Linked DNA regions of Cricetulus griseus. The protein of the gene in region 1 interacts with the protein of each later gene in a pairwise test. Links are inferred from orthologs where the notes say so. Each region holds a gene or a part of one and is shown in the gene's direction. Other genes may lie near its edges.

Region 1 (3,655 bases):
TAAGGGAAGCCCCATTTTGTAATTCCTAGTAAATTAATAGATGTAAACAGTAATTGCCAATGGATATAAAGTCCATTAGGTAAAAATTGAATAGGCGTACCGGTGTTAGTGGCACACGCCTTTAATCCCAGTACTCGGTAGGCAGAGGCAGGTGGATCTCTGTGAGTTCGAGACCAGCCTGGTCTCCAGAGTGAGTGCCAGGATAGGCTCCAAAGCTACACAGAGAAACCCTGTCTCAAAAAAAAAAATGAATAGGCATACATGATAATTGAGGGATATGACAAACACCAAATATGCCCAGTGAATATTATGTGCCTTTAGACATGGTACAATAGGAAATAAACAATTATATATGAATTTTTTGCTTTAAATATTGAACATGAATCTAATTAAATCTTTACAGAAACCATCATTAATTTAACTTTCTAGAATATTATAAATGATCTTTATCTGTTCTGGATAATCTGGAATATATATATATATATATATATATATATATATATATATTATTTGAAATGTACCAAATTTGACACAAACTGATAAAAAAAAGCATAACCAAGTGACCAATGACAACTGTATTAGACTAGACTTAAGTGTCAAAAAATACAAGAAATTTTGAACAAGTTATCATCAGAAAACATTTCATTAAATCAATTTGTTCACAAAACAGATAATGGTTGTATACTATCAATGGACAGAGGATAAAGGTTGATGAAGGGATGGGACAGAAAAATGATTTCAAAGTCATAACAGCCAAAACTGACTTATATCTTGATTAAATAAACAAGTATTGAAAAAGTCACTGGCATAATCAAGGTCATTCAAATATAAATTTGGAATTGGGTGGTACTTAGGAATTACTAAGTCCGTAAATATGGAAATGCCATCCTGGTTCTATTCTTCAGATGTCCTTGTGAGTTAGAGGTATGTATGTATACTTGCATGAACTTGAGGTTTCTTGGTGCCTTACTTTGCCATGTATTGGCCTTGCTCAAGATGCAGTTTTAAGATACATGCACATTCTCATGAACATGCATGTGTGTGTGTGTGTATGCACACACACACATACACACACACTTGCTACATGTTATAAAAACCTTTCCTAAAAGAGGTTCTGTATCTGAGATCCAAAATTTAATTTTTATTAATTTTTAAAAGGTTATACTGGGGAGGCTTTGTAGAACTTCCATATCTCTTTGTCTTGATCCAGATGAACCCCCAGAGAAGAACAAAGGTGATCCCATGAACAACCTGGAAGGTTTTTACCACGAGACTATAATGAAAAAGCGTCTTGAAGAGTTCCAACTTATGAGAGGTGAACCCTTTGCTTCCCACTCACTGGTCTCAGCTACATCAGTGGGTGATAGTGGCACAGCTGAGAACCCATCACTACTCCAGGACAAGGGAAAACAGGCAGCACAGGGTAAAGGCCCCAGTCTCCATGTGGCAAAAGTTATTGATTTTCTACCTGAGCAGTGTTGGACTGGGCCTAAGAAGCTGACGCAACCAATAGAATTTATCCCTGAAGATGAGATCCAGAGAAACCGTTTGTCAGAGGAGGAGATCCGAAACATCCCTATGTTTTCTGCATATAACCCAGGGGAACCGAACAAGGTATAGGCCAAATCAAGACCACAACATGAGTTGTTTTCACTTTATTTACCTCTACCTAATGGAACATTTTAAAATTACCTTTGATTATGCCAAAGATTATGACATAGCTATTTTGTTTGTCCTTAACCTTAACCATCATTTTCCACATACTATTAAGTAGCCTATTTCATACCATGTTCTGTGTGCCTTTCTTAGATCCTAAAGTCCCCTCAGCATTTTCAAATAATAATGAGATCTAGAAGCTCTGAATTATAGGAAAAGTAACCACCATGTCCCTAGTGATTGGCCACCCAGTTGTGGGTACCATTAACAGCACAACTCCTTAAAGCGTTAATTTTTGTCTTAATTTTAGAAAGCAGAATAAAGAATAATATTCCCTGATTTCAAAAAAAAAAGATGGATGAAGTGATACTGAAGTACTGTGAGTGACTTTCTGTTACGTTAGTCCTCTTCCCGGGGTAGCTCGACTTTCATTTACTTTACATTTGTCCTGAGCTGTTACTAACATGCCAAAGAGTAAATAGCCCATGAATAAGTTAGGGAGTATTTGTATACTTAGCTAGCCACGTTTACTAAGACTTAATATTTTTTCCTATTTTCTTAGTTTTAAAAATTAGTAAAGCTTTATGAATATAGCTGAAGAATTTCATGGATTCTTCATCAATCCCATTCTTCCTTCTTTCCAGGTTTAACCACTATTTCAAATTTTCTAGTTCTGTTCCCGTGGGTATTTTTATGCATTTACTACAGAAAACTGCATACAACTGTCCCTAACTAATAATAGCTAATTTTACTTTTGTTTACATGATTGTATGAGAAAATATGCATTTAGTGGAACCTATACTCTGGATTTTGAATTTTTATTTTTGTTAAGCTAGCAATATGCATTGTGGTGCTCTGGTACCTTATTGAGATGCTGGGCAGCCACAGTAACCTACATCTCACAGTCAGCCATATATCATGAGGATAAACCATTGACACTCCAGAGTATTAGGTTGCTAAGCTGCAGTGTTCCATAGATTACATATATTAAGTGCATTTCTGACTTAGGATATTTCAACTTAGAAAGAATTTATCAAGATATGACCCTATCTTAACCCAAGGTATATCTTAACTATCCATAAATATTCATAAATATCCATAAATACAGTTTCACACATTTGAAAACTATGTAGATGCTGTCATACTTTACATCTTTTTCTGGTACTATTTTGACTCAATATAGACTTTTAACTTTACCTAATAGTTTAGAAAGGTAATTTATTTTTAAATTTGCATATTCCTCATTTCCAGTAAAGATATACAAGTATTTTTAATTTATTAGCCCTTCTTCTACCCTCTGTGAGTTAGCTTTCTGTTCCTTTATCCATATTTTTATATTTTTGCCCTTTGTGTTTATTTATAATGATTATTTTTTCATTTTTTAAGATTTATTTTTATTGTGTGTGTCACATGTATGAGAAAAAGAACAAAGAAGAGAGTTATTTGGACTACTAGTTTCTGAATATTTTCTGAAATTAATAGCAGACTACTAGCCATATATCCAGGAATCTCAGAGAACATTAAGCAAGAAGAATGCCAAAAACTACATCTAAGCATAACATATTCAAACTATAGACAGGCAAGATAAAGGAAAAAGGAATAAATAGGATCAAAGAGAATGACATCAGCCTCATCACAAGGCAACACAAGCAAGAAGAGGATGGAATGAAATATTAAAGTTTATAGAGAAAAAAATTCCACCCATGTAGAAATCTATCCAGAAAACTTACCTTTTGGTACAGAGGAAACAGAATAACAGTTCTCAGATGAACAAACATGTAGAGATTTTGTCACAATAAAATTATTCTCCTAAGTTTAGGAAAATTAGATAACTTAATAATTCAGATCTATATATAGGAAAAACATAGAGGAAAAAATACACAAAGATAAAATAAAATTATTTTCTCATTCTGTAGAACAGAAGTGGAGGGAATACATTTTTGTGAGGTGAGACTTACCTTATTACAGAAACCAGTTAAAAATATTAGGATAAAAGAAA
Region 2 (3,655 bases), on another chromosome or scaffold:
GTAGTGTCTTTTTTTTCTCTCATTTAGATATTTGTTTCCCTGACTTGTTTGTAAAGCTAGTCTTTTAGCTATATTTGATGTGATTAGAATCTTCCCTGTCTGTGGCTTTGGAGGCTGCCCTGGAACAAGCTCTTGTAGACCAGGCTGGTTTCAAACTCAGTGATCTGCCTGCCTCTGTCTCCCTGGCTTAAACTTGTTTTTGTTTCTGTGTTAAGGGCTGGTGAGACAAGGTCTCTACATAGCCCTCTCTGTTCTGAGACTTAAACTATGTTGATCACACTGACCTCAAACTCAAATTATTATACTGGGATTAAAACTGTTTGCTAACATTTTGGCCTAAAAGCTTGTTTTTGTTTTTTGGAGTTTCTCTGTAGCTTTGGAGCCTATCCCATTTGTTGGACTTAATGCATTTTTTAAGGAAAAGCAAGCATATTATCTTTAATTAATCAACACTGAAGTTAACATACTGACCAGTTTGTAAGGATAGAAACATCCACTGCTGGTTTTCACAGAAATTACCACTGACAAGTGCCAGCTGTACTGGCCCTAAGTAGAGTGCTCCATCTACTGCAGATAATTCTGTACATGTACATACGGCTATATAGCAAAGAAATGAAACCAGCCTAGATATACATAAACGACTGGGTGATTAAATTTCATATTATGTTATATGATGTATTTGTATATTTAGAGAAATTATATTTAGCAATAAAGAAAAGCAAATGGGCTGGGTAAATGGCTAATCAATTAAGACCTGGTTCCTTTTCCAGAAGACCCAAGTTCCATTCTGGCACTCACATGGCAGCTCACAACTGTTTGTAACATAATAAGTTTTTAAAAAGCTCAAAAGAGAAACAAATCTAAAAATTACAGGAAAGGCCAGGCATGGTGGCATACACCTTTAATCCCAGCACTCTGGAGGAAGAGGCAGGCGGATCTCTGTGAATTCAAGGCCAGCCTGGTCTACAAGAGCCAAGTTCTAGGACAGCCTCCAAAGAGAAACCAAAAAAGAAAATGGGTAAATAAGTACTGAAGTGAAAAGACTAAGTGTTCTTTCCTATGTAATGTTCACACCTTTGTATATACGTAGGTGTATTGTGGGTAAAGACCAAAGAGCAAGAAAGGAGAGAGTAAAAGTGCTCGGGAAGGCAGGGAGGAGGATATACACACAGACTAGAGTTTCAATCACTTTGCAAATCCCCTGACTACTACTACTACTGATACTATGCTAATTAGGATATAATACCATTTCTATTTTGCTTGTTTTAAGTTTCGCAGCAGACTCTCTATGGACAATGACTAAATTCAGCATTATATTTAAGGGCTTTAAATTTTTTTTTTGCATTCCATTAGGAATATTGAATAAATACAGTAAGGTTGTCCGAAAGAATTCTTGATAGTTTAGTTCTACTGTTCTTATTTTACTAAGTATAATGAATTTTATTTAAAAAGGGGGGGAAGCTGGAGAGATGGCTCAGAGGTCCTGAGTTCAATTCCCAGCAACCACATGGTGGCTCACAACCATCCGTTATGAGTACTGGTGCTCTCTTCAGGAGTGCAGATATACATGGAAGCAGAATGTTGTATACAATAAAAATATGAATTTTTTTTTTTTTTAAGCAAGCACACATGGTTTGGAAGAGTTTAGCTAAAAACTCAGTGCCAATGTATCTACTTGTGCTCATCTGAAATTATCATTTGTGAAACTTGTTTTAGAGACCCAGTTTTGGTCTGGTATTTCATTTGTTTTGCTTCCCTTTAGGCTTATTTGTTAGAACTAGTGAGAAGAGTCGTTGTAGCTAGTGATAGAGAAAGTAAATCTTTGGATTAGTCCTTAAAAACTAGATTGTGTTTTAAAAGGTTTGCATTTGTTGACAATTTGCTAGAGTCCTCTTTTTCTGCTATATGGTTTCTGGGAACCAGTTTTAGTCATTGAGGCTTGTACATTAATCACTCAATGTCCCTTGATCTTACTGTCCCAATAGTGTGTCCTTAAATTTAAAGAAAAGTTGTTTTGTGTTTGTGCACATGGACACTTACTGGTCAGGATCTAACTTAGTACTTCTTTAGTAGGTTTTTCCCTTCTACCATGTGGAGCATGAGCATTGAGCTCAGTTGCCTGACTTAGAGCCGGTGCTATAACCATTGTGCTATCTTGCCAGATCTGTTTTGTACTTTGAAATTTGGATGTTTATTATTATTATGGATGGGTGGGTATATGTGTAGAAGTTGTCAGGGTACTTTTGTGTTTAGTAATGGCGTTGAGAATGACTTTAAGGGTATACATAAATTTCCACACTTATCTTTGCAGTTAGTGCAAGCTTTTTTTGTGAAAAATAATAGAAACATTATTGAAAAAATGACCAGTTAGTAGCTACTGATGTGATCCTTTAACTGTGTTAGTGCATGAGTAAAAAGTTAAGAAAGATGAATCAATTTTACAAATTGGAGAAAGAGTTAGGGATATGTAGCAAAGAAAAACTAATGTGAGGAGTTTTGGTTTCTAGCCATACAGGGTAGCTTTGTAAAACCTTTTAGTGAGGAAAGTTAATGTTACACATTAGGTAATAACTGTAGTCTGAATACAGGCTTGTTAGCTTTGCTGGGAAATAAAGCCCAGTCTTTTTGCCTTGAGTTCTTGTTTTTTAACCCCCCCCCCTTTTTGTTTTCCTTTTTTTTCCAGATATTAATCTGGCTGCAGAGCCAAAAGTGAACCGAGGAAAAGCAGGTGTCAAACGATCTGCAGCGGAGATGTACGGGTCAGTACCAGAACACCCTTCTCCGTCCCCTCTACTCAGGTCCGGAACTTTATTATTTATAACTGCATTGTGTCCATCAGTGGGCAACTTCTGTGTTTCTGGATGTGGGGAGGGTAGCGCGATGTGTTTTGTATGTGCAAAAGTGTAATGCTTATTAACGTGTGTTAACATACTTCCCCTTTGCCCCTATTTCCTTGCACTGAGATTTTGCTGTTTAACAATAATTTTATGTGTATGTATCATAAATTCAAGAGGAATTTGTTAGGTTCTAGAAAGCTTGGGAATAAGGAAGGGAGAAGGGATTGTGGTTTCAACAACTATTGTTTTCTTTTAGTGTTCTTGGTTTGGTTAATAAGTTACTTTGTTGAAATTTTTACATGAATTTACTAATTTGATCACTGCATGTCCAGTGGTCTAAGATAACAATGGAGCGCAAATGATTTGTTTGAATGAATGGTGATTCATTGCTAATCTTACTGATCTATTTGTTGTGGATTGTTTGGCCTGTTTTCACCCCATCTGCCTTTTGCCTTAACAGCAGCTCCAAAATCATCTTTTTTGTTATTTATTTTTCAGTTCCTCATTTGATTTGGACTATGACTTTCAGCGGGATTACTATGACAGGTATGTATAGTTTTGTTTCCTTTTTGGATATTATTTAAAAAGGCAGCTTAAGCTCATGTTTCCAACATGCTGCTTTCTACTCAGTTAAAACCTCTGTAGTAGGATGCTTGCTTATAAAGCATAACAATTAAAGACAAACCCTACTCCAGCTCTTGTGAATGGATTTGTGTAAATGTCTGCCTCATGTATTGAATGTCTACAGCCCTTGGAAGAAGGCTTATCATATAAGCTGTTTTTCCAGGCAGGTATGAGGTCCCATCATTAGTACTGAG

The links.
Region 2: the proteins of Rbm41 (region 1) and Hnrnpc interact in binary tests that used the Homo sapiens proteins (3 or more experiments, as listed by UniProt). The two-hybrid records come from large-scale screens. The link is inferred for Cricetulus griseus from reciprocal best matches to the Homo sapiens genes RBM41 and HNRNPC.

The regions. Positions count from the first base shown.
Region 1 is NC_048604.1:40,375,982-40,379,636, forward strand, and holds part of Rbm41 (RNA-binding protein 41), read left to right. Parts: intron 1-1,210; coding exon 1,211-1,614; intron 1,615-3,655. UniProt on the Homo sapiens protein: May bind RNA.
Region 2 is NW_023276807.1:207,152,696-207,156,350, reverse strand, and holds part of Hnrnpc (heterogeneous nuclear ribonucleoproteins C1/C2), read left to right. Parts: intron 1-2,683; coding exon 2,684-2,798; intron 2,799-3,335; coding exon 3,336-3,383; intron 3,384-3,655. UniProt on the Homo sapiens protein: Binds pre-mRNA and nucleates the assembly of 40S hnRNP particles. Interacts with poly-U tracts in the 3'-UTR or 5'-UTR of mRNA and modulates the stability and the level of translation of bound mRNA molecules. Single HNRNPC tetramers bind 230-240 nucleotides.